Linked DNA regions of Macaca fascicularis. The protein of the gene in region 4 interacts with the protein of the main gene of each other region in a pairwise test. Links are inferred from orthologs where the notes say so. Each region holds a gene or a part of one and is shown on either strand. Other genes may lie near its edges. The genes, in order: NUP62, MYRIP, ODAD1 and C1H1orf216.

Evidence for each region.
Region 1: the proteins of C1H1orf216 (region 4) and NUP62 interact in binary tests that used the Homo sapiens proteins (3 or more experiments, as listed by UniProt). The two-hybrid records come from large-scale screens. The link is inferred for Macaca fascicularis from reciprocal best matches to the Homo sapiens genes C1orf216 and NUP62.
Region 2: the proteins of C1H1orf216 (region 4) and MYRIP interact in binary tests that used the Homo sapiens proteins (3 or more experiments, as listed by UniProt). The two-hybrid records come from large-scale screens. The link is inferred for Macaca fascicularis from reciprocal best matches to the Homo sapiens genes C1orf216 and MYRIP.
Region 3: the proteins of C1H1orf216 (region 4) and ODAD1 interact in binary tests that used the Homo sapiens proteins (3 or more experiments, as listed by UniProt). The two-hybrid records come from large-scale screens. The link is inferred for Macaca fascicularis from reciprocal best matches to the Homo sapiens genes C1orf216 and ODAD1.

Annotation. Positions count from the first base shown.
Region 1 is NC_088393.1:57,888,397-57,895,289, forward strand, and holds the end of NUP62 (nuclear pore glycoprotein p62), read right to left. Parts: intron 5,386-6,893; 5' UTR 5,309-5,385; coding exon 3,743-5,308; 3' UTR 2,391-3,742; downstream 1-2,390. UniProt on the Homo sapiens protein: Essential component of the nuclear pore complex. The N-terminal is probably involved in nucleocytoplasmic transport.
Region 2 is NC_088376.1:103,014,203-103,021,540, forward strand, and holds part of MYRIP (rab effector MyRIP), read left to right. Parts: intron 1-1,226; coding exon 1,227-1,307; intron 1,308-5,356; coding exon 5,357-5,454; intron 5,455-5,669; coding exon 5,670-5,750; intron 5,751-7,338. UniProt on the Homo sapiens protein: Rab effector protein involved in melanosome transport. Serves as link between melanosome-bound RAB27A and the motor proteins MYO5A and MYO7A. May link RAB27A-containing vesicles to actin filaments. Functions as a protein kinase A-anchoring protein (AKAP).
Region 3 is NC_088393.1:56,295,570-56,302,907, forward strand, and holds part of ODAD1 (outer dynein arm-docking complex subunit 1), read right to left. Parts: intron 5,830-7,338; coding exon 5,707-5,829; intron 5,380-5,706; coding exon 5,266-5,379; intron 3,719-5,265; exon of another isoform or gene 3,593-3,718; intron 1-3,592. UniProt on the Homo sapiens protein: Component of the outer dynein arm-docking complex (ODA-DC) that mediates outer dynein arms (ODA) binding onto the doublet microtubule. Involved in mediating assembly of both ODAs and their axonemal docking complex onto ciliary microtubules.
Region 4 is NC_088375.1:199,231,469-199,239,481, reverse strand, and holds the start of C1H1orf216 (UPF0500 protein C1orf216 homolog), read right to left. Parts: upstream 4,432-8,013; 5' UTR 4,254-4,431; intron 2,270-4,253; 5' UTR 2,095-2,269; intron 1,921-2,094; 5' UTR 1,916-1,920; coding exon 1,226-1,915; 3' UTR 1,224-1,225; exon of another isoform or gene 1-1,223.

The DNA.
Region 1 (6,893 bases), on a different chromosome or scaffold from region 4:
CCTCCTAGACTCCCCCAGGAGGCCTGTTGGGACCATTTCCCACATGGCTTTGGGGCAGAGCCCCTGATTTAATGGAATCCCTTGTGTTATTCAGAGTGGGGTGCTCAAGATCCCTTGGGGTATGGGAAGAAAATGTAGAACTTAATTTTCGTATTTTTTGAGACGGAGTGTAACTTTTGTCGCCCAGGCTGGAGTGCAATGACGTGATCTCGGCTCACTGCAACCTCCGCCTCCCAGGTTCAAGTGATCCTCGTGAGGAGCTGGGATTACAGGCACCCGCCACCACGTCTGGCTAATGTTTGTATTAGTTATTTATTTTTTATGTTTTTGACACGGAGTCTTGCTCTGTCGCCCAGGCTGGAGTGCGGTGGCACCATCTCTGCTCACTGCAAGCTCCGCCTCCCGGGTTCACGCCCTTCTCCTGCCTCAGTCTCTCTGAGTAGCTGGGACTACAGGCGCCCGCCACCACACCCAGCTAATTTTTTTATATTTTTAGTAGAGATATTCACTGTGTTAGCCAAGATGGTCTCAGTCTCCTGATCTTGTGATCCACCCACTTCAGCCTCCCACAGTGCTGGGATTACAGGCGTGAGCCACCATGCCCGGACCCTAGTTTTTGTATTTTTAGAAGAGATGGGGTTTCACCATGTTGGCTAGGCTGGTCTGAAACTCCTGACCTCAGGTGATCTGCCTGCCTCGGCCTCCCAAAGCTGGAATCTGTTCTTATTTTAAAAATGTAACTGTAAGAAAGCAATTAAGCATTGCTAAGCTTTAATATGCAAAATAGGAAATAGTATGCAAAATAATAGGAAAATATACATATAGACTTTGGAAATATATGCTCAAATTTTTCTCGTCATGATTGTGTGGACCCTGCCAACGACCTCTTTGTGGGCATTTTTTGGTACCTCCAGCACCACATCAGGACCAGCTCTGAAAATAGATGCTGAAGGCACAAATGTAGGTAAAATGCAAACTGCTTCCTGCCTCCTAAGGGGACTCAAGCCCTCCCTTCCGGCAGAGGGGGCAGCATGAGTCAAGGCCTATGAACTGCACAGAGGTCCCTGCTGTAGGTGACAGCTTTCAGAGAGAAGTAGCTGGGGTTGTGGGGTCTTCCTCTGGTTTACCATGCCCACCACACACACCCATGGCTTCTACTTAGACACAACTCCTGTCCTTCAGAGCCCAAGATGGCCCAAGGAAATTTTATTCATTTGGGACATAGTTTCGCTTTATCTAGGCTGGAGTGCAATGGCATGATCTCGGCTTACTGTAACCTCCACCTCCTGGGTTCAAGCGGTTCTCCTGCCTCAGCCTCCCGAGTAGTTGGGATTACAGGCGCCCACCACCTAATTAGCCACCAGCTAATGTTTGTATTTTTAGTAGAGATGGGGTTTCTCCATGTTGGTCAGGCTGGTCTCGAACCCCCGACCTCAGGTGTTCTGCCAGCCTTGGCCTCCCAAAGTGCTAGGATTACAGGTGTAAGCCACCGCGCCCAGCCGGTCCAAGGAAATAATGACTCATGATGATGACTTCGGGAGACTTTTGGAACCTGGGCCATAAATCTTCCAAGCGTGGCCCACAGATTGACATGAACAGGTTGAGGGAGGCCGAAGGGGTACACTCCCCACAGCCCAGAAGATCTGAGTGCTTAGGACCATTCCAGTCCACAGGGCGAGGCTGCAGGGCAGAGGAAGAGCATGGGGCCTGTGTCTTTAGCCCCAGGTGCCAGGAAGGAATGCTGCCCATGCCGTCTGTAGCCACTGGACTAGCGCCTTAGGGATGGGGCTAGATGACTTAACGTGTGTTTTTTGAGACAGTGTCTTGCTCTGTCGCCCAGGCTGGAGTGCAGTGGCAGATCACGGCTCACTGCAGCCTCTAATACCTGGGCTTAAATGATCCTCCCACCTCAGCCTCCCAGGCAGCTGAGACACAGGTGCGTGCCAGCATGCACAACCAACTTTTTTGTAGTTGGTAGAGATGGGTTTCACCATGTTGCCCAGGCTGGTCTTGAATCCCTGACCTCAAGTGTTCACCTATCTCGGCCTCCCAAAGTACTGGGATTACAGGTGTGAGCCACCTCGCCCAGCCATATTTGTGTATATTCTATGACATAACAGTCACAAACACCAAGGGCCCACTCCCCGTGGTGGCTTCACTCGCGTGTTCCTCTTCTACCACCAGGCACCACCCCTTCCCGGAGCAAACCACAATTTGCATTTTCTATTACTCCGTCTCATCAAACAAAAGCTGCTTCATCACATGCTCCTGTGTCTATGCAAGCACTGCTTGCCCCTGCGTTTCACGTGAATGACACCCCTGCAGAGTCTCCTGAAAGCTGCTCTTTTTACTCAAGTTTCTCCTCCTAACATTTATCCATATTAGCAGCCTTTTTGGTTTCACAATACATTTATTTAGAAAAGCAACATACAGTAATAGGTATTTCAGAGAATGCAGCAAAGGATAAAGACAAATACAAAAGACACTTGGGATACAACTGCTGGCTTCTGCCTTCCACACACAGTGGATTTTACTGTAACTGACTAGAGTCACTCTGGTGCCAGGAAGTTCAGAGCCATGTCCGTGGCCACCACTGGCAGCTGTGGCTATTTCTGTGGACTGTTGTTATGCCGGGCTTCATTGTTCTTTCATTTAATAAATGTCCCAGTCACATTTGTTGGACTGGGCTGGGGACATACAGGGGAACAACAGTGGGTCTCTGCCCGTGGGAGCTCACAATCTAACCGCGAGACGGACGCAAACGGCTAGCACAGGACAGCATAGCAAGTGTTACCCAAGGTACAGGCTCAGGGTGCTACGGGGACCTGCAAGAAGGCCACCTGAGCTTTGGGTAGCTGGGAAGGCTTCCTGGAGGAGGTGAGGCCCAGAGGTGGGGGTAAGCCTGGGCCAGGCAAAAGGCAGGCCTCTGTGTGTAGGCCCCTCAGCTGACCTGTCTTCTGTGCAATTCTCGATCCCACTGTTTGTTCTATTCACACTGTGCTGCTTTGTCTTGGTGGTTAGCTTTCACAGGCACACACCTCCTACTCCAAAACTTAGGCTGCTGTCTCCTGGGACGCTTTTTTTTTTTTTTTTTGAGACAGTCTCTGTTGCCAGGCTGGAGTGCAGTGGTGTGATCCTGGCTCACTGCAACACCTCCCAGGTTCAAGTGATTCTCCTGCCTCAGCCTCCCGAGTAGCTGAGATCACAGGCACCCACCACACCTGGCTAATTTTTGTATTTTTAGTAGACACGGGTTTCACCATGTTGGTCAGGCTGGTCTTGAACTCCTGACCTCAAGTGATCGGCCTGCCTCAGCCACCCAAATTGCTGAGATTACAGGCGTGAGCCACTGCGCCCTGCAGGCTTTGGAGGTTCTCTTACATTTGGTATTTTTTCATGACACCTATGACTACGCTTTGGAGAGAGCAGCTGTCCCCGCGACCCTGGCTGGGACCAAGACCACCACTGCGTCTCCATCACCAGGTCGAGCCAGGATGAGGTGGGCGGTCGCAGTGGCTGGAAAGGGGCCAAAGACACTCAAATAAAAGCCACAGAAGCCACACCCATGAGGCTGCTGCCTGGGCAGAGGGCTCAGAATACTTCCTACATGGAAAAAGGCAAAGCACACAGCAATTGTCTCAAAGGCAGTCACGTGAAAGAAAGAAACATGTATCTTGCCACAACCCCAAACTAGACAACAGGGCGCGTTCCCCGCATGGAACTCCCAGGGCCCTGCTGTCGCTCAGTCGAAGGTGATGCGGAAGCTGCGCTCCTGCTCCTTGCGCCGGCCCTCGCACACCTTGGTCACCTCCTCCACCTTCCTCTGCAGCAGGGCCGAGTTCTGGTCGATCCACTGCAGCGAGCCCATGTGCGCGTTGAGGATCTTGCAGATCTGCTGCAGCGGGTCGCTGGTGTCGGCGGGGGCCCCGGACGTATTCAGGTGCTCGATGATGTCCTTGAGGTCCTGAGCCATGCGCTTGAGCTGCGCGTCGATGTTCTCGGCCAGCTTGTAGGTTTTCTCGCGCTCCTCATCCGCGTGCTGCAGGTAGATGGTTCCGCTCTGCTCCTTTACCAACTCCTCCAGCGGGCTCAGCAGGTCTTCCAGCTCCTTCTGCTGGGACAGGATGAAGTCGAGCTCCTGGTCCAGCCTCTTCTGGTCCAGCTTCACCTTCTCCACCTCGCGGTGCAGGCTGGTGATCTTCTCCCCGTTCTCGATCAGCGTGCGGTCCCAGGCGTTGACCTGGGTGGCCTGCTGGAGGAAGTGCCGCTCCTGGTCCTCTAGCTCCAGGCTCCATTTGTTGATCAGGCTCTCCAGCTGCGCGTAGGTCATGGCGGAGCTGGCGGCCGCCCCTGCAGCTGCACCAGGGCCAGGTGGAGCAGTCACAGCGGCTGCCGTATTGCTGGGGATCCCAGCTGGCGCCAGTGGTTTTAAATTCAAGGCAAAGCCGGTGGTGCTGCTGCTGCTGCTGGTGGCCGCGGCGGTGGCAGTGGTGGATGTTGCTGTGGAGGCGCCCGAAGCTGCTCCAGGTGCCTTTAAGCTGAAGCCCTGTGTCCCGGCAGCGGGGGCTCCCGCGGTGGTCGCAGGGGTACAGAGGGAGAGTCCGGTGGTGGCAGACGAGGTTGGAGCGGTTGCTATTGATGCAAAGAGGGTGGGCCCAGTACCGGTGGTGGTGGCTGTGGCTGTGGGAGCAGCTGGCTGCGTGACGCCTGCTGTGGTGGCTGCTGGCGTGGCCGGAGTAAAGGGCAGAGTGGCAGGTGCGGTGGGCTGGGCTGAATTCCCCGCTGAGCCAATGTTGAAACCGGAGGGCTGGGCCATGCTTCCACCAGTGAATGAGAAGCCTCCAGATGTGGTGGCTGGAGCCACAGAGGTGGTGGAGGGGCCAAACACAAAGCCAGTGGGTGCTGTGCCCTGGCTGGAGGTGACAGTGCTCGATATGGCATTAGTGAGGTTGCTGCTGCCCAGCCCAAAGCCACTGGGGTTTGCCATGGCTGGGGTGGCAGCTGTGTTGCTCAAGTTGAGCTTTGAAGCACCGATCCCTAAAGAAAATCCAGTTCCCCCCGAGGCAAGAGTTGCTGTTCCAAAAGTGAAGCCTGTTGTCTGTGTGGCCGGAGTCTGAGTGGCGAGTGAGAACAGGCCGGTGGAAGGGGTACTTGTGGTTGGTTGGGAGGGAGCCCCAAAATTAAACCCTCCAGTGCCAGAGGTGGAGAAAGAAAACCCTGTGGCAGGTGTGGTTGTCGCTGTCTTTGCAGTGCCAAATGTGAACCCACCTGTAGGGGCCCCAGTGCCTCCAAAATTAAACCCGCTCATGGCTCCGGACTCTGGTGGCGGCAGCTACTCTGGCTCCCAAAGCAAATCCGCTGGCGTCTGCGACCTCGGGAATATTTCTAAAGCAAAGGAAGTGACACTGTCAGATGGCAGTTTTGGAAAGGCAAGCCCAGTGGCATGACTGGGCACGGCTGGTTTGGAGGGTGGTGGGATGGGATTATGATACCATGCAGCAACCCCCCTTCGTCCTGTGTAACCTAAACCAGACTCTGCTACATCGAGAAGGATCCAGAAGCACAAATGCACGCTCCAGGGGTCAGGTACGAGGAGTCGGGGTGCTAGGGACGTGCATGGCCACATTCAGCACAGTGGAAAGTTCCCACTCTGGAGGATGAGGCGGGAGAACAGGACCTTGGACCCACTTCAGCCCGAGGAGATCAGATTTGAGGCACTGCCACAAGCGGGACTAGGACACAGAAGAACAGCTGTAGGACCTGCTCCCAGCGTGGGACCCAGTAAGGTTCCCTGGCTGACTCTAGCGGGGTGTGAGCGGATCAGCTCTTGCCACCCTGAGGGCCTCTCTGGACGTGAGAGAGAGAGATGGGGCAGGGAACCCAGGCTGGATGGCAGGATACGGGCTGCTGAAGGTCCCCCAGGCCCACACCTGTACTCTCTAAGAGCAGGAGAGGACGTGCCCCTCCTAACTCAGGGGAGGGTCTGAAACCCATGTGCTCAGAGCACAGATGCCCCTGGCCACAGTGACTGGCTCGAGGATAAACTGAGACCCGAGCCAGGCAATCAGAGCCTCCCCTGGGATTTTCTCCATGCTCAGAAGGCAGCTGCCTCCTTCGCCTCTAAGTGTGGTGCAGGGGATTGCACCTGGGCCACCCTTGGACACCTTCTCAACCACCTGCAGACACTGGGACATCACCGGAGACCATGAGCCCCACCAGAGATGGATGGGGTGGGGAACAGATAAAGAGCCCCCGAGAAGCCCCATGGGCCAAACATTTCCCTTCAGTCCAAACTGACTTGATGTTGGTAACGTCTAACCGAAAAATCTCCAAGTGGTGCCATCTATCAGCGGGATGGTGAGGAAAGGGTGAGAGGAAGTGCTGGATAGGGGTGTTTTTTTTCTTTTGGGAAAGGGTTTTGCTCTGTCATACCAGCTGGAATGCAGTGACATATCACAACTCACTGCAGCCTCAAGCTCCGGGGCCCAAGCGATCCTTCCACCTCAGCCTCCCAAAGTAGCTGGGACTACAGGTACATGCCACCATGCCCGGCTAATCTTTTTTATTTTTTGTAGGAACGGGATTTCACTCTGTTGCCCTGGTCTTGAACTCCTGGGCTCAAGCGATCCTCCCTCTTTGTCCTCCCAAAGTGCTAGGACTATAGGTGAGAGCCCTCCAGATGATCAGAAGCATCCTTAGAAGATCGGTTTGACTGACTGGAGAGGGAAGAAAGCTTGTGGTGGCAAGAGCAGACTGGAGTGATGCGCTTTGGAACCTGAAGACGGGAGAAAGCCAGGAGCCAGGGAAGGCAGAAGCAGCTCTAAAAGCCGGAAATGGAAAGAGGGAGGCCCTGTCTAAAAAACAAACAAACAAACAGAACGAACAAAGTCATG
Region 2 (7,338 bases), on a different chromosome or scaffold from region 4:
GCTGTCTGCCTTCTCTGTTGCCTCCTGCTCCCCCTTGGTCTTGCGTCTTGATATCCCTCTCACCTTCCAGGAAAGTCTAAAGTTCACTTCTTGCTCATTCAATCTCTGTCTTTACCGGGATTTATAAACACACCCAAGTCTCTCCTGTTTTCTAAACCCCTCCTTGACTGCATTTTCCTCCACTCGTTGTCCTGCCATCCTCTTTCCCATCACAGGTCAACTTAAAAAAGTGAGCTGCATTCAGAGCTTCCATTGTCTGCCCTTCCTCAGTCTACACTCACCTTCTCCCGCTTCCAAGCTATTCTCCACACAGCAGCCGCAGTGCACTTTTAGAGGCACAGATCTTACCAGGTCGTCTCTGTGAAACCTTTAAGGGCTGCACATAGTGGTTGAGATAAAGATCCAAACACTGATGTGGCCACCATGACCTGCATGGCCTGTGTCCCCAGGTCACCTCACCAGAGCTGCTTTTTCTCTCTGCAGCCCTGACACGCTGACTCTCATTTAGGCCTTCAGATACACCCTTTCCTCCCAGGACCAGTCTCTGTGCAAGCTGTTTGCTGTGCCTTGTATGTTCTCCCACTCCCTACACCCTTCGGCTGATTCTTCACTGCTTAGGTCCGTCTTCCCTGCTGAACACTTTCAGTGGGCTGTGAACCGTCCCATCAAAGCACTTAACCTATCTATAATTTCATATGTATTTTTATAAGCATTTGATTAATGAATTTCCCACATGAGAATCTCATGCTTGTCAGGGTGGGGTGGGGGCAGGTTTAACTTTGCTCATCAGTGTGCCCCTAATACCTAGGCTGAAGCCAGGCACCTACTGATGCTCATAGACTATTTGCTGGATGAATAAATAAATTCTAGATGCAGCCATGCCAAGCCACACAACCAGTAATTTGCAGGTCCAGGAATTGACCTCACATTTCTCAGACTTTAGTCTATTGTTCTGTCTTTGACTCCATATTGCCTGCAAAGAAGGTATGGGAAGAAAGTTGGGGTTGGTAGCAATGCTGCACCAGAAATCAGTGTGAGAAGAAAAAAGCAATGGGTCAAAAATGTTAGCATTATTGTGGGAACTCATGAGTCCCTAAACCTATTTGCAAGGCTAACAACCCAAGTGTGTAATAGCAGTCTGCCAGTTCAGTGACACAGGGCATCAGTGTTCACTGAAGACCTTTGATAATCATATTCATTCTCTTCTCCCACTCCTACCCTGCCAGGAGGAAGCCTTTTTGAGTCAAACCTGGAGAATGAAGGAAGCATTTCTGGCAGTGATTCAACATTTTATAGGCAGTCAGAAGGTAAATTTGCTTAAGAGTTTACAGCTACTGGGAAGTTGGAGGAATAGAAACACCTACAGGTACAGGTACTGCCAGGGCCCGCCAGGTGCATTGTTACCCCAGATGCAACTATCTACTACTACGTGTGAGTCTCCCTGGGTCACTTATTATTGCCAATTGCATGAATCCATCATATGGCCATCCAAAGTGTGGCCAAGGGAACAGCATTCATTCCCAACCATGGATACTTTACAGTCAACTAGTAAATATTCTTCTGGAGTTGGAACATATCAATCAACCCACTCACTTGTGCATCTCTTATTAAAATATTCCCTTAAAGAAGGTATCATTTACTGATTAAATTCTACTTTTTTATACCAATATAATTGCCCCCTTAGAGCAGTGGTTAAAAGCAAAACAAACTTCTAATTTCAAATAAAACTTTATCACTTCAATTCTTTGTCTGAAGTAATGGACATTGATAATCAGTGCCCCCTGAATTGCCTTCCTCCTGTGACCCCCACAGCTCATCTGTACCCTCTATTCTCTCTTTGGGGGCTGTGATGGTTAATTTTGTGTGTCAAAATTAACTGGGCTAAGGGATGCCCAGATAGCTGGTAAAACTTTATTTCTAGGTTTGTCTGTGAAGGTATTTCTGGAAGAGAATAGCATTTGAATCATAGACTGAGAAAAGAAGATCTACCCTCATCAGTATGAGTAGGTGTCATCCAATCCATTGAAAGCCCAGATAGAACTGAAATGCAGAGGAAAGGTGAATTTACTGTCCCTCTTCTGAAGCTGGGACATCCATCTTCACCTGCCCTCAGACATCAGAGCTTCTGATTCTTGGGCCTTCTAACTCAGGACTTAAACCAGCAGCTCCCCCATTCCACAGCCCTTCACATTTGGACTGAATTATACCACTGCTCTTATGGGTCTCCAGCTTGCACACAGCATATCATGGAACTTCTCAGCCTCCTTCATCACATGAGCCAATTCCCATCATAGATCTCCTATTTTATATCTATATATATCCCATTGGTTCTGTTTCTCTGAAGAACCCTAATACAGGTGCCTTCTCATGAAAATTCTGTCCACTGTTATCCTTATTACCTGCAGCTCCTCCATAGGTTACCACACACCATTGTACGACCTCAAGTGCACCTCCATTTGCTGCTGAGCCAGAAATGCCCAACCTTGATTTCATCCCAGAGTTCTAGGCTCAGATTTCTAATGCTTGGCCATTAGCACCTGAAGATCCTATAGGGTTCTTAACCCCAACTTGTCCTAGTCAAGCTCTTTAGCCACTTAGGTCCACCAGTGAGAGATATGTTTCCTTCAGTCCCTCTCCTCATTTCCCCCAAGCTACAAAAGTACTTGTCAGCCCTGTTTTCAATCTTACCCTTTTCTCTCCATTCTAAACCCCTATCCTTCATACCTCTCTGCCCGAAACTCTCTGGTATTAGTGTTAATTTCAGTGGCCATCTGTATCAGCAGGGTTCTCCAATACACTAAATATATATGTATGTACATGCACACACACACACACACACACACACAGATTCCTTTTAAGGAATTGGCTCATGCAGTTGCAGGGGACTGGCAAGCCCCAAACATACAGGGTAGGCCAGCAGGTTGAAAACTCAGACAGGAGTTGCTGCTTCAGGCTTCAAGCTGAATTTCTCCTCTAGGAAACTTCAGTTTTTGCTCTTAAGGCCTTTCAAAGGATTGAATAAGACACACCCACATTGTGGAGGACAACTCTTACATGAAGTCAACTGATTGTAGATGTTAACGACATCTAAAGAATACCTTCACGGTAACACCTGGACTAGTGTTTGATTAAATAACTGGGTACTATAGCCTAGCCACATTGACACATTGACCATCCCACCATCTAGCTGGTCTTCTGAACTTTGGCCACTTTACCTTCTTAATCTTACCCCCAACCCTTGCCAACCTTTCTCTCTGAAACACTGACCTGAACCTTCACTTTTTACCCAGAGTTCCACATCACTTTCATCTAAGAATTATAATCATAGCATCCAAAGCCTTCCTAGTTACAGCTCCAGGTGCCTACCTTCCAGGAGTCTACACGGATAGTTATGCATGTCTCTTAGTGGTTACTTATATGTCTAATCACCCAATATCTTGGAAGGTACATGAAAGCATGGACTCAGCTTGTCCATCAGGTTGTCACTGGGGCCATCACAGAGCCTAGCACACAAACGGTACTCAGTAAACATTTGTTTGATTCAACAAAAATTTGTACTATTTTCTGTGAAAAATACGTTGGTGACTATCTTGAAGAAGAGAGAGGGGAGATACAGTGTCTACCACCAGGGAGCTCTTAGTGTGTGTGATGACAATTTATATCATGTAGGCTCTAGTTATCAAAACATTGGAAAGACTGTGCTACCTGGTGGTGTGCAGAGCCCTGGGCCGAGCTGCCCCTATGTGGCTCTATCATGACTGTCATAGCTGGCTTGTGACATACTCATCAGCTAGCTAGATCACTTTGACCTTAAGTGGATTGTTTAGAGACTTTATTATGTTTGCCAAATGATACTTTCTGTCTACATCTGTGTCCTTAAGAGTCTAAGAAGCTTGAATTATTTTTTAATTGAGTAGTTAATGAATTGATGTATTCACACCCTGTTTCATTCCACAAAGAATTTTCAACAGCTTACAGGAGATTTGCATGTGTTAAATAATATATGAGTAGGAGACGATAAATGGAAACAGGAGTTTGAAATTGGGGAAAAGGAGACCCAGGTACCCAGCCCTTGCTGACCTACATTCCTGCATGTGATGTGACTTGGACTTCTAGGGAAAACTAAGAGAAGGATGATAGAAATTCTCACAAGTAAGAAGCTAAAATCTAGGATCTCAAGGGAAACAGAACTTTTCCCAGCACTTAGCTCCAAAAAGAACTCTTCACTTGGGGAAGTCCTTTATTTTCTCTCATTTGTTGCCATGTCTTAAAAAAAAAAATGTCCACTAAAAATATGGTAGCACGATATTTTTAAATCATGTTAGCTTGTATTCGTGTCAGTTTTGTGATTAAAATCAAGGGCTTTGAATTGGAAGGAATTTGGAATGGAATCCAAATTCAAATTCAAAGGAATTGGAATCCAACTGGATTCAAATCTTAGCCTTCTTGTCTTGCTGTGTACCTTGGGTGAGTTATTTAACCACTCTGTGCTTGAAATTTACCATCTGTAAAATTGTACCTATATGGCACCTACTTACCACTGGATTTTTGACAGAATTAACTGTGATCATGTATGTGAAACTCTGGGCCTGGGGCCTGCCATGTGGCTATGGCCAATGTTGTTAATACTGGTTGATAGTCTAAAAAATTAAACCATAGAGTTTATATCTGCACTAAGTCATATGCACAGCCCAATGTCCTTAGTACATTTAATAACATTTTCCCCATCATCACAATAATACATTATATGGACAAAATAAAGCATAATCTTTATCTGAGAAAGTGGATGAAGAACCATTATTTCCTTATATTAAGCCCTTTTGTTCAGTCATCTTTAAGCCACTCTGTGTGCTTGGACCAGTGCTTCATTTTTGTATGATCATATTCATACAACAATGAATGTGATCAATTCTCGTTCTCTGAAAGTGACCTGTGGGAAGGGGCCGGGGCATGGAGCCTTTCTGGATGATGAAAGCAAGCCCAGAACCTGGGACAGACCTCAAGCAAAGGGTGAGGCTGAAGGGATTTGGGAAGATTTGTTAGAGGAGGAATTTTTGGGCCAAGCCTTGGGGTCCATGGGAACCAGCTCAGTTATGGAGCACGAGACTAGGAGGGAGGAGGAATGAGACAGCAGGCATGAAATAATCAAATAATTTGTTGCATATGGGGCTCGGGATGTGAATGATGCATGGGAGGCAGTTGTGAGGCAGGTGGAAAGGGCGAGGGCTTTGTGCGCTATGGTAAGCAGCTGAGAACTTATCCCAGAGCCCTTGAAGAATTTAAGCAGAAGAGCTTGAACGGTCATTTTACTCATCATTCCCTTTTAGAAATGCTCTTTGTACTGTTTCCTGTCTAGGACATAGTGTGATGGACACCTTGGCTGTGGCCCTACGGGTGGCTGAAGAGGCCATTGAGGAAGCAATTTCCAAAGCAGAAGCATATGGGGACAGCCTGGTAGGACCCCTCCTGCTCCTCTCTGTGGGGGGAGGTGTGGGTTGGGGTCCTGGCTGCCAGGAGAAAGTGCAGATTGTCAGGAAATCAGTGTCTCAGCAGCTCTGACTAGAGCAGGGCCCTCCCTCTGCTTTTGTGGTCAGGATTCTCCTTGCAAAGTGATTGCCGAGTCAACCCAAGTCCACCCACAGCACACAGCCATTCTCTTCCCTCCGCAGGACAAGCAAAACGAAGCCAGTTACCTGCGGGACCACAAGGAGGAGCTAACCGAGGAACTGGCCACGACAATCTTGCAGAAGGTAGGTGGGCCCTGGCAGTGGGATGGCTGCAGTTTCCTGGCTGGGCCCGGAGTAGGGACTCTGGCAAGTAGCAGATGAAACATGAGGAGTGTCTCTGGTACTGTATCTTCTGTGCCTTCTCACTTTAGCCTTTTGTGCCCTGCGGACCCATGTAGAGGGAATGTATTGCACTGCTCTGCAGTCACTCCTGCTAGCTCCGTGCCCTATGCTGTCCCTTGCACAGTGTACCTGTCAATTACTTCTGAGAAACCAACCACCCCAAAACTCTGTGGCTTCTGACAAGGATCTTTCTGTCTTCCACAACCAATTCTCCAGCACCAACTGAGAACTGAAATTCCATTCAGATACTAACTTCTTCCTGCAGTTAGTGCAGACCCCACATTTAAGGGCCCAGTCCCACAAGACTGCCACTACTTCAGACACCAGCCACAAGTTTCAGGTATCCCCAAGCCACCACACTTCTCCTTACCCTGCTACAAATTTGGGAGTTTCCACGACCCTGGACCCTCAATTCAATGATTTGCTAGAACTCACAGAACTCAGAAAACTGCTTTACTTACCATTACCAGTTTAAAATAAAGGGTACAGGTGAACGGCCAGATGAAGAGATACAGAGAGCAGCAGGGTCTGGGGACAGGATGTACAGAGCTCCCATGCCCTCTCTGTGAACATCACTCCACCAACACATCGATGTATGTACCAACTAGGAAGGTTTCTGTGCCTTGTTGCATCAGAGTTTTTAGCCAGGTTTCAGTATGTAGGCATGATTGATTAAATGATTGATTACCTGATTGAACGCACTCTCTAGTCTTTCTGCTCCGAGCCCTCTAATCATGCACTGTAGTTGGCTTTTCTGGCAACCTGCCGCCATCCTGAAGTTATCTAGGGACCTCACCTTGAATCACCTTGTTAGTATAACAAAGACACTCCTAACACTCGAATCATTGCAAATGTTTTTTGAAACTGTGCCAGGAAATGGGGACAAAGACCAAATACAGACGCCCCTGAACTTACAGTGGATGGGGTTAAGTCCAGATAGTAACCCCATCCTAAGTTGAAGGTATCAGAAGTCAAAATGCATTCAATACACCTAACATACTCTTAATATATCCTAGCTTAGCCTAGCCTATCGTAGATGTACTCAGAACTTGCATTAGCCTATAACAGGTCAGAATCATCTAACTCAAAGCCTATTTTATAATAGTGTTTAATAGCTCATATAATTTATGGAATGCCGTCCTGAATACACAGCGCTTTCCCACCATCGTAAAGTCCAAAAATCCTAAGTCAAGGACTATCTGTATATATGTTTTGTTATGCCACAATTTACTTCTTGCTCACACATCTGCAGTGGCTGCACTTCCAGCTGTGGGTTGGGACAAAGTCGGCTGCAGCATGTTCACTCTGGGTCCCAACTGAGGGCACATCAGCTGCCTGTGGCCATGACAGGAGCACAAGCCAGCAAGAGGAAGCACACAGTGCTTATTAAGGCCGAGGCTTAGCTCTGGCTTACAGTTACTGACTCCCTCCTCTCATCTCATTGGCCAGAGCAAGTCACACATCGAGTCCAAAGCCAAGGGCTGGGATG
Region 3 (7,338 bases), on a different chromosome or scaffold from region 4:
CAAAAAATAATAATAATTATTATTATTATATTAATAACCACACAGAAGGTCAAAAGAAAAGGAACTAATCCAAATAACTTCTGAATAGAATAATTTGAAAAGATAGGCTGACGCTCATGCCTGTAATCCCAGCACTTTGGGAGGCTGAGGCAGGCGGATCACCTGAGGTCAGTTTAAGACCAGCGTGGGCAACATGGTGAAACTCCATCTCTACTAAAAATACAAAAATTAGCTGGGTGTGATTATGCATGCCTGTAATCCCAGCTCCTTGGGAGGCTCAGGCAGGAGAATCACTTGAACCCAGGAGACAGAGGTTGCAGTAAGCCAAGGTCATGGCCACTGCCCTCCAGCCTGGACGACAGAAAGAAACTCCATCTCAAAAAAAAAGAAAAGAAAAAAAGAAAAGATATATAAATACTCATATTCTCAGAGGACAAAACAAACTGCAAACAAATCCTGAACCCTATTTATCAGGTTTGGGGGTGGTGGTATGGCTGCGGTAATTCTGTAATTCTTCTGTACGTGTCATATGACTCAGCAAATGAGTAAGTATGTTGATGTGGTTGGGAACTGGTGTTCCCGCTGTGGGAGAAGAGAGCCAGAAAGATGAAATGAAGAGGCCAGGCGCAGTGGCTCACGCGTGTAATCCCAGCACTTTGGGAGGCCGAGGCAGGCGGATCACCTGAGGTTGGGAGTTTGAGACCAGCCTCAACAACATGGAGAAACCCCGTCTCTACTAAAAATCCAAAAACTTAGCCAGGCATGGTGGCGCATGCCTGTAATCCCAGCTACTCGGGAGGCTGAGGCGGGAGAATCGCTTGAACTCAGTAGGCGGAGGTTACAGTGAGCCAAGATCGCGCCATTGCACTCTAGCCTGGGCAACAAGGGCAAGACTCCGTCTCAAAAAAGAAAGATGAAATGAGGAATGCTCAGGAAAAACCTGGTGGTACCGGAATGGAATCAGAGGAATCAACGTGAACTCACTATTGTAAAATATGTCAGCCAGGCGCAGTGGCTCATGCCTGTAATCCCAACACTTTGTGAGGCCAAGGCAGGGGAATCACTTGAGCCCAAGAGATTGAGAGCAGCCTGGACAACACAGTGAGACCCCATCTCTACAAAAACTAAATAGAATTTTAAAACATATAAAATATGTGTGCTTCCTAGCTCTCTCCAGAGAAAGGGCCTCAAAGCAATGACACCCAAGTAGCGACGAACTCTCTTAGTGCCTCCACACCTACTCTTCCCCAGAAAGAATCGGACTCCTCAGAACAACGGCCGACCCCAGGGATGGGGCAGAACAAGGTCCAGATTACCTCGGCTATCTTCCCGTGCCAGAGAGTGAGGAAGTACTCCCCAAAAGTGAGGGGGTGTGTCCAAAGGCCACAGGAGCCAGCGTGAAGGGGCCCCCCCAACCAAATCTGGGGCAATTTGAACACTAAAACGAATGGCAGTTACAGATTGTCATCTATGAAGTCACAATACATTCATGCTCACTGACAAGGAGAAAGAGAAGTTTTTCCTTTTTTTTTTTTTTTTTTTAATGAGACGGAGTTTCACTCTTATTGCCCAAGCTGGAGTGCAATGGCGCAATCTTGGCTCGCTGCACCCTCCGGCTCCCTGGTTCAAGTGATCTCCTGCCTCAGCCTCCCAAGTAGCTGGGATTACAGGTGCACGCCACCACGCCCAGCTACTTTTTTGTATTTTTAGTAGAAATGGGGTTTCACCATGTTAGCCAGACTGGTCTCAAACTCCTGACTTCAGGTGATCTGCCTGCCTCAGCCTCCCAAAGTGCTGGAATTACAGGCATGAGCCACCGCCCCCGGCTGAGAAATGTTTCCTTAAGGAAAATGCCATCTTATAAATGTGGGAGAAATGATAGAGTTTTTTTAAATCACCCTTTTGCAGCCATTACAGTAATAACCGTTCAGGGAAGAATCATTCATGGATGCTAAAATTGATGGCAGTAGCTGCTGGCTGGGGCTGCACACTCCATGCAGCCGGTGGGAGCCCTGCCCCTTCTGAGTTGGGGTGGGAGCTCCCCGGATGCAGCTGTAGCCATCTGAACCACAGTTGCAGACCCAGGCCTTCTGCTCCACGGAGCAGGCAGCAGCCGGGCACAAGCGAGGGTCCTGCCCCTTCCGAGTTGGCAGGGTGGGAGCTCCCGGAGCGCCGCTGCGGCCACCCTCCCAACCACAGGACCTAGGCATCTCTGAAGTTCTCTGCAGCCTGCACCCTCAGAAGCCCAGGAAAGCACCCCCCGATCCCTGCAGGCTCAGAGGTGTCTGCTCCTGCTGCTCGGCCTCTCTCCTCTCTTGCACCCACTCTGATCTCAGAGAGGGGTTGGGGTCCAGCCCAGTGCCATGAATGGCAGCAGGAGGCAGACACATTCCTGGGCAGAAGAGGGCAGGTCCCCGGTAAGGTCCCTCCTTTAGGCCAGGGAGGGCCTGACGTCTGGGGGCCAGGTTACCAGTACTGCAGAACGAGTGGGGACTTGCAGCGTCTCCTCCAGGCCTGCCCATGGCCACCCATGGAGCTACCCTCTCTGCTGAGAGCTTCACAGGCCTGCAGACATCTGAACAACCTGCCTGCGGAGAGGAGCCACCCTCTCCAGGGCCTCCTCACGGCTGATAGCTGAACACTAGACGAGACCACCTGCCTACAGAGGAACTGCCCCCTGCAGGTCTCCTCTGAGCTGTCTTTTTTTTTTTTTTTTTTGAGACGGAGTCTCGCTGTGTCTCCCAGGCTGGAGTGCAGTGGCGTGATCTCAGCTCACTGCAAGCTCCGCCTCCCGGGTTCACGCTATTCTCCCGCCTCAGCCTCCCAAGTAGCTGAGACTACAGGCGCCCGCCACCACGCCCGGCTAGTTTTTTGTATTTTTAGTAGAGACGGGGTTTCACCATGTTAGCCAGGATAGTCTCGATCTCCTGACCTCGTGATCCACCCGCCTCGGCCTCCCAAAGTGCTGGGATTACAGGCTTGAGCCACCGCGCCCGGCCTCCTCTGAGCTGTCTTAACACTCGATAAAGCTCCTCTTCATCTTGCTCCTCTCCACTTGTCTGCCTACCTCCTTCTTCCTGGACACAGGACAAGAACTCGGGCAAAGGCACCACTGGCCAAGGAGGTTTCCAGCCAGAAAAGTGACGCCCGAAAGATCCCGTAAAAAAATGATTGAGTGAAGGTGTGTCAGGGGACAAGATATTTACGCAGTCTCAGAGAATCTCCCCACGGACCACATATTCACTACGAAAAGGAAAACTCTCCATTGCAAAAACCTGGCTAGCCAAGTGACCAAAGACAACACCACTAGTCATGGGACAAGCTGACATCAGGTGCCTCCTGAGATCCTGCACAGGAAGGACACACTATCACTGCTGTGACATTCCCCCCAAAGTGCAGACACCAAGTCTAATAATGAAGAAAGATCAGAGAAACCGGCCGGGCGCGGTGGCTCACGCCTGTAATCCCGGAACTCTGGGAGGCTGAGGCGGGCTTATCACCTGAGGTCAGGAGTTCGAGACCAGCCTGACCAACATGGAGAAACCCTGTCTCTACTAAAAATACAAAATTAGCCAGGCGTGGTGGCAGGTACCTGTAATCCCAGCTACTCAGAAGGCTGAGGCAGGAGAATCACTTGAACCCGGGAGGTGGAGGTTGTAGTGAGCCGAGATCGCACCATTGCACTCCAGCCTGGGCGACAAGAGTAAAACTTCGTCTCAAAAAAAAAAAAAAAAAAAAAAGACCAGATAAACCCGTGTCAGGGGACATTGCACAACACAACCAGCCTGGATGCTTCCAAAATGTCAACGTCATGGAGAAAAAAAAGCCCAAGGGACTGACCCAGATGAACAGAGCCAGAACAACCAAATGCAACGTGGCATTCTGGACCAGAGCCTAGAGCAGGAAAATCAAGTTCACTGTAAAGGACATCATTGGGACAATCAGTGCCTTGAAATATGGACTATTTAGAATTCTAACAATGCTAATGTCCCTGACTTGGATAACAGCACTAAGTAAATGGCGTTGTTCTTAGGAAATGCTCACTAAAGTACTTAGGAGCATAATGTCGACAACATATTGTCAAACAGTTCAGCAATCAGGATAATAAATTATTTTCAGCAAAACAATAATTACACACACAAATAGTAAGAGTTGGGGAGAAAGAGAATAAATGTGGCAAATTATCAAACTTGGTGAAAGATATATAGGAGTTATTTGTACAATTCTCGCACCTTTTCTATAACTTGAAATTATTTCAAAATGAAAGTCAAGACCAGACGCAGTGGCTCATGCTTCTAATCCCAGCACTTTGGGAGGCTGAGGCAGGCGAACTGCCTGAGCTCCAGAGCTCAAGACCAGCCTGGGCAACATGGTGAAACCCTGTCCATACCAAAAAAAAAAAAAATCGGCCAGGTGCAGTGGCTCACACCTGTAATCCCAGCATTTTGGGAGGCCAAGGCGGGCAGATCATGAGGTCAGGAGATCGAGACCATCCTGGCTAATACGGTGAAACCCTGTCTCTACTAAAAATACAAAAAATTAGCCAGGCGCGGTGGCAGTCACCTGTAGTCCCAGCTACTCAGGAGGCTGAGGCAGGAGAATGGCGTGAACCCGGGAGGCGGAGCTTGCAGTGAGCCAAGATCGCACCACTGCACTCCAGCCTGCGCAACAGAGTGAGACTCCGTCTCAAAAAAAAAAAAAAAGAAAAATCGTTTTAATTAGCTAGGCGTGGTGGTGCACGCCTGTAGTCCCAGGTCCTCAGGAGGCTGGTGCACGAGAATTGCTTGAATCTGGGAGGCACAGGCTGCAGTGAGCCCAGATCACCTCACTGTGCTCCAGTCTGGGTGACAGAGTAAGACTCCAACAAAACAAAAGAAAAGAGAAGAGAAGAGAAAGAGAAAGAGAGAGAGAAAGAAAGAAAGACAGAAAGAAAGAAAGTCAAAAGAGACGGGACAGGGCTGGTTCTTCAAAAGATCCCCGTGGAATGTATAATAAATGGTCTTGCAATAGTCAGGCAATAGATTGCCCTGGGTAATACTATTCAGAATGACACTCTGCTTTCTACAACTATAAATGAGGCCACTTTTTGTTGGAAGTGTCCTCCAACATTTCCCAGGCCTCCATGCCTTCTGGACTAAAGCAAGCCTACAGCTGTAGTCAATTCCATACTTGAGGCCTGAGTGCTAGAGCAGGAAGGGCAAACAGCTGTGGGGAGGACCTGGGCAGGGGTCCCTCTCTCCTCCCCTGGATTTCAGGGCCACTGACCTTCTTCAGCTTGCGGTCCATGTTCAGATAGCGGTTCCTGTCGATCCGCAGCAGATCCAGCTCCTCCCGCAGGGCCGCGTTCCGCACCAGCTGGTTGTCAAAGTGACAGATGACCTGGGAGTAGAAAGGCGGATGGAAGAGTGGGTCTGAGGCCAGGCCCGCCTGTCTCCTCCAAGCTCAGCCAAGGAGGAGATGCTTATCAGAGGTGGGGCCGGCCTGTTTCCTGAGAAACATCGGTTCTTTGGGGTTCCTGAAATCAATGTCCACTCCCCTCTAAGGACCCATCAGTCTCCTTTCCTTGGAAACCTCCATCCCTCCAGAATCCTGTGTCCTGACACACATGTGCACACACTGTCCACCATTTCCAGAACCCAACGACCATGCCCCGTTCTTCCCATAACCCCGCAATTCAGGTCGAGGGACCAGGAGGCTGACCCTCACCCTGTCCAACTGGTCTTCTAGGATCCTGATCCTTCGCCCGATCTTGACCTTCTGATCCAGGACGAATCCCGAGGACCTGACATTCTTACTGTGGGTAAAGATCCGTGTCTCCCACTCCTGGATCTAGAAGAAAGAGGACGGTACCCGTTTATGGTTGCCTGAATGTGGGAGAGATTGAATGGCCGAGGGAAAATGAGTCACTAAGCATGGCAGACATCTGCTGTCCCTGTAGCCCCAGAATAACATCTACCCTTCTGCTGACACTATCCAGCCCTCCATGTGGTTCTGGTGGGCCTTCCACCCAGTGTGTCACCCTGTCAGCCACATGACCCAGGTCTGGACACTCACAGGGACTGGCCTAGAGATGGGAACGCGACCCCATAGAGCCAGCCTGACTCGTTTCTTTTTTTTTTTTAATGAGACAGAGTCTTGCTCTGTCGCCCAGGCTGGAGTGTGCAGTGGCGTGATCTTGGCTCACTGCAACCTCCACCTCCCAGGCTCAAGCAATTCTCGTGCCTCAACCTCCCGAATAGCTGGGATTACAGGCACGTACACCACACCCAGCTAATTTTTGTATTTTTAGTAGAGATGGGGTTTCGCCATGTTGGCTGGGCTGGTCTCGAACTCCTGACCTCAAGTGATCCACCCGCCTTGGCCTCCCAAAGTGCTGGGATTACAGGCAAGAGTCACGGCGCCCAGCTCTGACTCGTTTCCTGATAGTCTGGGGGAAGCACATGAGATGGAAGGGTGGGATTCCAGGACTTCTGCTGTCATAGCCCCACCACAGGGAGGATCCTGGGAGGATGAGGCCAGTGGACAGAAGTGGAGATGAGAGTTGGAGAGATGGTGAGAACGAACCCAATGACATTAGTATCCCTGGGTCTGCTTATGCCTAAAACCAGCTTCCAATCTGTCCTCATTTCTGTATTCATCGGTACTTATTGGGGTGTGCTGTGTGTCTCCAAGCAAACTGGGGGTTCCATGAGGACAGAGAGTCTTGTGTTTTCTCCGTGTCTGAGACAAAGAAGGTATTCAACATAACATGCAGACTAAACAGACAAATGAATTGCTTAACACTTCAATTTGTACTCTGTTATGGGTTTAATCATGTCCCGTAAAAACTCATATGTTGGCCAGGCACAGTGGCTCATGCCTGTAATCCCAGCACTTTGGAAGGCCGAGGTGAGTGGATCACCTGAGGTAAGGAGTTCGAGACTAGTCTGGCCAACATGGTGAAACCTCGTCTCTACTAAAAATACAAAACTTAACTGGGCGTAATGGCACGTGCCTGTAATCCCAGCTACTCGGGTGGCTGAGGCACGACAATCACTTGAGCCTGGCCTGGGAGGTGGAGACTGCAAAGAGCCAAGATTGCACCACTGCACTCCAGCTTGGGTGACTGGGCAAGACTCCACCTCGAAAAAGAAAAGAAAAAGAAATACCCAAAATGTTGACACTGGGGGAAAATGCAACAAAGTGTACAAGGGATAACTCTGCATTTTTTCAACTGCACATGAATCCCAAAAAATTTTCTTCCTTTTTTTTCTTTTTTTTTTTTTAGAGACAGGGTCTCACTCTGTCACCCAGGCTGAGTACAGTGGTACCATCAAAGCTCACTGCAGCCTCCACCTC
Region 4 (8,013 bases):
CGACATCCAATGCTTCTAAAGCCAGAGAGGCACAGCAAGGTAGAGGCAGAGACAGGGAAGCGATATTTTCCTCATCAGCTTTGGAACATCTTGTCTGTTCCTTGCAGGCTTATTAACATACATTGCTTTTCATCAGAAGCTTAAATCAACAGGGTTTGCGACAGCTCCTTTCCCAGTGGAGAGATGGTTTGTTTGGGAACTGGTATTTTAGAATTCCCGTTCTCCTATTCTTCACAGGGTTCCACTATTGTCATCTCCCCTGTCCCCATCTCCCATGTGCCCAAAGGCAGAGTTCAAGAGGGACAGTCCCCTATGTCCTTCTCTGTCCCCACCCCCACCATCATCTCCATCACTACTCCCGGTTCCCCTTCCTGATACCAGTTCTCCACCCACTGCCAGACAAAATTGCAGCCAAAATGCCATAGCAGGCCAGAGCAGCCACTAAACCTCCTACAAGCAAAGCCAACATCAGGGACGATAGCCTCAGCTGAGCAAGTCTGGGCTAAGTGAGGGAAAGGGAAAGAAGAGGTGGCCTGGGAAACCCCAGGAGAATGGGTCAGCCACAACCCTCAGATAAATGATAGCATGCTAGCCCTCTGTCTCCAGGGAACAGTGGGACCCAGTGGAGAAGAAAGGCTGCGGTAGGCCATGAGGAACACAAGGTGTGGGTGGATACCCCACAGTGCAGCTGGATATGTATTTGCACACACCTGCTCATGAGTCTGCCTGCAAACACACATGCTCCTAACATACACCTCCCATGCCTGCAGCCACACACGTGCACCCCTGCACACACAAGGGCTCCCTCACATACATCCAACACAAGCCTGCACACTCAAACTCACTCATAGACACACACATCTTCTGCATATACATCCTCACTCATGTGCATATACACACACTGCTGGGTACCTGTCTACACACGCACATACAGATTTCCTCATTCTTCTTACATACTACACACATACATGTTCACTCTTACATGCTCACATATAGGTCTGCAGATAAATTAGCTTGTGTGTGCACATGTGCACACAGCACACTTAAGCTCATTTATACATGTTTATTCACACATTCCTATACACACCAGCCTACATGTTAGCACATACACACTCATGCCTACCTGCAATCATGCCAGCAAATAATTATGTACTTACTAGTGCACAACCTCACACATGCCTGCAAATATACACATACACCCTTGCACACTTGTGGAGACACACCCTTAGCCCTGGTCCTGGGGCCTGGATGGTGCTGCCCTCTGCTGGAGACAGCGAATGAGCTCCTTCCGGTTGTCTAGGATGGTGTCGAAGCTCTCCTGTAGTCGGGCCTGCTGGTCAATCAACTGATGCTGCAGGCCCCGGATCCACTGGAGCAGTGCCAGGCGACGGTACATCACCAAGTGCACGTGGTGCTTTTCTTTCTCCTGCTCTTTGTAGCGCTCCTGGGCTTGTAAGTGCTGCACAGCCTGGGCCACTGAGGGCAGAAGGGGATCGGGAGGGCCAAGGCCTCGCGGGGTCCCACAGGCAGGCTCAGGACTGCTGCTAGGGCTGTTGATACTCAAGGAACTGCTGGCATAGCCATTGTCCTCCAGAGGGGAGCAGACTGTGCCAGGACCACCCATCTTCTCAGGCTCAGCCCCGGGAATCTCTGCCCCCTCTGGGGGGCTGCGCACCCCTTCCTCAGGGGATCCAGGGGCCTGGAAGGCCTGGTTGTCAGAGGGCGACTCAGAGGAGCTCCTCCTCAGGATAGGTTCCACTCTGCCTGGCATCCCATGCCAATTCTCATTAGCATCCTTGGCACTTGCCATGAAGTTGGAGTTGTTGTCTGGTTGGAGCTCGGGCTGACATACTCCAGGAGGTGGGTCCCCCAGGAATTGGCCCCCCTCAGCTAGCCCTGGCTGGATGGCGAACATCTGGTCTGTAAAGGGAAAGCAGGAGACTGAGTCACAGTAGGACAGGGTGGGGTGCCTGAAGTCAGGGCAACTTAGCTGCAGGGACAAGGCTGAAAGCAAGAGCCCGACCACTCCCTGTCAAGCCCTTTCTCTTGACTCTGGTGACACTTCCCCTCACGGTTTTCGTCCTCCCTGTCTACCTGTTCATTCTCAGTCTCCTGCAGAGGGTTTTTCCTCAGTCCTCAGAGCCAGGCTGTCTTCTGATTTTGCACATTTCTCTCCAGAGGACCTCATTCTCTGCTGTAGCTTCAAGGTCCATCATATGCTGATGACTCTCAGATCTGTCTTCAGCCCAGATCTAACTGCTATCCAACCCTGCAACCAATCATAGGCTCCTCAAATTCTACATAACCAGTCTGGGTGCGGTGGCTCATGCCTGTAATCACAGCACTTTGGGAGGCCGAGGCAGGCAGATCACCTGAGGTCAGAAGTTCGAGACTAGACTGGCCAACATGGTGAAACCCCATCTCTACTAAAAATACAAAAATTAGCCAGGCGTGGTGACAGGCACCTGTAATCCCAGCTATTTGGGAAGCGCTTGAACCCAGGAGGCAGAGGTTGTAGTGAACTGAGATTGTGCCACCACACTCCAGCCTGGGTGACAGAGTGAGACTTCATCCCTCTCCACCCCCCGCCCCCACCACCAAAATTCTATATAACCAAACAAGCTCTCCTTCAGTATCCTCAGCAAGATGGCTCCACCCTCCATCCAGAAGGCTAGGAGCATCCTGGGCTCCTCACTCTCCTTCCTTCTCCCATCTCATTGATAACCACATTCTGACCATTCTTCCTCTTCCAGGCCATTTCTGACCTGGATTATTGCCTCGGCCTTTTCACTGGTCTCTCTGCCCCCAGTTACAAATGTAAATTTCACTTGTCACCACTCAGAATGCCCTCCCTGAACTCCTGCTAAACCTCTATGTGGCCTACAAGGCCCTGTTTGATCTAGCCTCTGCTCACCCTTCCACACCTGCCTTTTGCCACTCTGTCCCTCCCATCATAGCAAACTGCCCAGAGATCTCAAAACACACCATTGTCCTTCTTACAGTATTCCTTTGGCCTATAATATCCTTCCTCTCCCCTCCCCTCAAAGCTCCTCCCTTCTCCACCCAGCAAATTCCTTTTTGTACTTCAAAATCAGCTGTAATATCCCCATATCTCCATGTACCCATGTCTCTGAAGCTGTCTTGATACTGCCGCAATCAATATTACATAAACAAGCACGGTTAGTTATGCCTTCCTCTGGGTCTCCACTGCCCTGGGTACACACTGTCTTATCCAACTTTGTGTCTGTCCCTGGCATACATGGTCGACGATCAGTGAATGTCTATTTAACTGGCAGTTTTGGTTTGTGGCAATGATCTTGTAATAGCAGTTTGTAATCTAGCTTGGACCTCCCCTATATATCCTCCATCATATTCCCCAGAGTCAGCCAGCATAGAGCCCGGAACCAGGCTGTCTGTGCATACTGGTACTTGCTAAGCGAGTGAATGGGAGAAGAGACTGCAGTGAATTTCCATGCTCAGGAAGCTACTCCCGACTCCCCCGGGCTGGAAGAGCTGGGTTCAGTTCCCTCTCCTACCCCAGCCAGGGAGCCCAGCCTTCCCCAGTGACAAGCTTTTCTTCTGAGCCTGCCCACTTCCCTCCCAATGCCTCTGGAACACGGCCACTATCTTGTGTCCCTGTCCCTAGCTTGCTCCATCCTGAGGCCCTGGAGGGCGGGCATACCACACCACTCTTCTCTCCTCCATAACCTGCTTCTAACCAAAATTAGGATTTGAATTGACAAAGGAATTCTACTGACCAAACAGCACTGGGATTAGAACAATTTAAGAGCATGAAGAGGAAGGATATTGTAAGTGGAGCCGGCACTGGGAGGCGCACCATAGGTGGCATGGACCCTCCCCACCCCCAGCAACGGGCAGAAGTCCTGGGGAGAAGGGTGTAGGAACAGTTCCTTTGTAATCGCCCTCTAAGCAAGGCTTGTGGGAAGGTGCCTACAGATCTCCCCTCGCCCCAATTTTTAATTTTTCCTATACTTGGATGGGGCCATGAAGGAAGCTGGGATGGGGTAGGGGTGGCGCTAGGGATCACAGGGTTCTCAGAAATAGTAAAATAGGAACCCCGACACCCCAGGACTAGGTCTCCGCCCAAATAGGAGGCAGCCTCCTTTCCTGGCCTTGCGGGAGTGGGAGACCACCCCAGGAGGCAGAGACCAATCCTTCCCTAGTCTCCTCGGAGGCCGCTGTGACTCCCCGCTTCCCGCGGCTGGGCCCCAAGCCCCCCGCCTCCGACTCACGGCCTAGAGGCGCCCGATCCGGCGCGTCTGGCTATGGCTCCGCCCGGCCCTGGTGGTGTCTAGTCCCTGGGCTGGGGGTTCCTCGGCCTGGGCGTCTCCGCGGTCCAAGGGTGGGTGCGGGGCTCCCGGGCAGCGCGCCCAGCCCCAGGTCCGGACTGCGGAGTCAGGCGGCGTCTGCGCGGCGGGGCGGAGCGGCCCGGCCCACGTGGGCCGGTTGGGTTTTCCGCGGAGCCGCGCGCTAGGCTCTGCGCCGGAACCGCCTCGCCCCCGCGCGGGGCCGCGTTGAACCAGGCCTTTCAGGTCCGGTGCTCTCTCCTATTGGCGTTCGCTGGGCCCTTCCCATCAGTTCACCTCACTGCAGACACCGTGCCATTTTCAAGTGAAATCTGATTAGTCACCACCTTCCGGCTTTAAACTCCTCTATGACTTCCCCACAGCCGGGACAACCCCTAAGGCAGCAGCCGCGGGGCTCTGCGCGTCCGGCCCTCCGTCTGCCTCTCCGGCTTTGTCCTCTACCCTCCCTCTCCGCAGCTACCCTCCCGCACGCCCCTTTCTGCCACGCGGCTTTGGCACGCACGGTTCCCTCGGTCTAGCAGTCTCTTCCCCCTCTCGATTTACTCCTATTTCAGCTCTCTCCTCGGAGAAATCTCTGACTCCCTAGATCGCATTCGTTCCCCCTTGTATGTCAGGGCACGTTCCTTTTCTTCATAGCATTTATCACAATTTGGAATTATATATTTCTTTTTGTGCTACTTGACTAAAGTCACTGAGACCGGGCGCGGTGGCTCACGCCTGTAATCCCAGCACTTTGGAAGGCCGAGGCCGGCGGATCACCTGAGGTCAGGAGTTCGAGACCAGCCTGGCCAACATGGTGAAACACCGTCTCTACTAAAATACGAAAATTAGCTGGGCGTGGTGGCGGGCGCCTGTAATCCCAGGTACTCGGGAGGCTGAGGCAGGAGAATCGCTTGAACCTGGGAGGTGGAGGTTGCAGTGAGCCAAGACTGTACCACTACACTCCAGCCTGGGCAACAGAGTGGGACTCTGTCTCAAAAAAAAAAAGAGAGAGAGAAAGAAGAAGATCCAGCCTGGGACAGGTCCCAGGGCTGATGTCCTGTACCTGGGATGGGGGCTCTCCACAGGACACAGAGCCCGTCCATGACACCTGTGCAGTGGGCACTAGTGCTTTTGCCCAGGTGAGGAGGAACAAGGTTATAAAAAGGGTCCTGGCTTCCAAACTCTAGTGAATTCTTCTCAGAGCTCCACTCTACTGAAGCTTGATCCCCCTCTTTTGCACCCTGGGGAAATGTGAAGTTGGGGACCCTGTTTGGAATAAAAGAGAACAGAGTTTAGTAATTGCTGACCCTAATATATAAGGTACCCTCTTCCAGTTTCAACTTGATTGCAAGTCACCATTCTGCAACCTAGATACTAATTGGCAAATTGAATCACACCAAGAAATCCTATATGCAAAAACAGGGAAAATGGAAAATAAATTTTTATGATTATGATGACTATTTTAAGAGGGAAAAGGAAATAAGAAGAAGGCAGAAGTAATTCAAACTTTGCACACTCCTCCAGCTAAGAAAATACAGGTGGAGATGTCAGCCTCATTTCTACATCAGATCCTGTGGCCTAAGTTCTCTCCCTTCCCTTATCCACTTCAGGTTCCCCTGGCCTTCAGCCTGGGGTGACCAAATCCAAATCCTTACTGTTGGTTGTTTTTTTTGTTTTTTTGAGATGTAGTCTCGCTCTGTCGCCTAGGCTGGAGTGCAGTGGTGCAATCTCGGTTCACCGCAACGTATGCCTCTCAGGTTCAAGCGATTCTCTTGCCTCAGCCTCCCGAGTAGCTGGGATTACAGGTGTATGCATCAGCACGTCAGCTAATTTTTGTATTTTTAGTAGAGATGGGGTTTCACCATGTTGGTCAGATTGGTCTTGATCTCCTGACCTTGTGATCCACCCACCTCAGCCTCCCAAAGTGCTGGGATTACAGGCGTGAGCCACTATGCCCGGCCCAAATCCTCACTCTTAAAGGCTCTCAGCTTTGGTGATCTAGGGTTATGCAGTTCTCCCCAGACCACAGAGCCATAAAGTCATCAATTGTTTGTTCTGCCCAGAATAGCCTTTCTCTGCCTCTGTTTGGACTCTGTCTCTCCCAGCTTAACCATGTGGGTCAAATGAAAGCCTGAAGAATCAAGGGATAGGAACTCCACTCCAGGTGAGCCAGTCGGAGTCTGGGATCTTCTGAAATGAAATTAAAGGAAGATGAGGCAGGGAAGAAACAGAGATGAGAGACAGAAGTTCTGATAATGTTGCAGACCCTGTTTCCTGAATCTAAATTTATAGTTTTGTGTGCCTTATTTTGCCAAGCCTAACTTGAGTGGAATTCTTTCACCGACAATCAAAAGAATGCTGATTAATACAATAGCACAAGGTGGTGACCCCAGGGTCTCTGGGTTCCACTCACCCACCTCTCAACCCTTATTAGGTAGCAGTAACTCCCTTTCTCCTTGAGAGCCATTATCAGTCCAGTCTACACTGTGACCACCCCCTTCTATTCCTCTAGTACTACCAGGAGCCTGAAATCCAAGAGAATCATCTTTGTGTTTCTTGGTTAGAAACGTTCCTCCCACGACGCTATCACCATCTTTTTTTTTTTTTTTTTTTTTTTTCCCAAGACAGTTTCACTCTGTCACCCAGGCTGGAGTGCAGTGGCGTGATCTCAGCTCACTGCAACTTCCACCTCCCAGGTTCAAGCCATTCTCCTACCTCAGCCTCCCGAGTAGCTGGGATTACAGGCACGTGCCATCACACCCAGCTAATTTTTGTATTTTTAGCACAGACAGGGTTTCACCATGTTGGTCAGGCTGATCTCGAACTCCTGACCTCAAATGATCCGCCCGCCTCGACCTCCCAAAGTGCTGGGATTACAGGCGTGAACCACCATGCCCGGCTGATGCTATCACCTTCTGACCTGCAATACCCAGAATCTCAGAGACAGGAACAAAACTCTTAGTCCTTTGGTACAATCATATAAGGTGCCACAACCACCTCTACCTCTTCTTCCTATGCATTCTGGCTGCAAAGTACAAAACATTATATACATTGATTTAAAGCCTATATTGGGCCTGGTGTGGAGGCTCACACCTGTAATCCCAGCACTTTGGGAGGCCGAGGCGGGCAGATCACTTGAGGCTGGGAATTCGAGACCAGCCTGGCCAACATGATGAAACCCCGTTTCTACGAAAAATACAAAAATTAGCCAGGCATGGTGGTGCGCATCTGTAATCCCAGCTATTCAGGAGGCTGAAGCAGGAGAATTGCTTGAACCTGGGAGGTGGAGGTTGCAGTGAGCCAAGATCGTGCCACTGCACTCCAGCCTGGGAGACAGAGCCAGACCCTATCTCAAAAAAAAAAAAAAAAAAAAAAAAGGAATAGACAGAAGAATGGGCTGTAACAATGTAATGGGCCCTGCAACAGAGCCAGGAGGCAAAAGTAGTAAGCCCAAAATAGGGTAAGGAAAGGCTTCACAGAGGTGACTTTTTTTTTTTTTTTTTTAAAGAGATGGGAGTCTTGCTATGTTACCCAGGCTGATCTCGAACTCCTGACCTTAAGTGATCCTCCCACCTTGGCCTCCCAACATTCTGGGATTACAGGCATGAGCCACTACACCCAGCTAGCACAGGGGTGATATTTGAGCCAGGCCTTGAGGGATGAATAAGAGCTCACTAAGAGAAAGCAAGAGAAGGCACAGGAG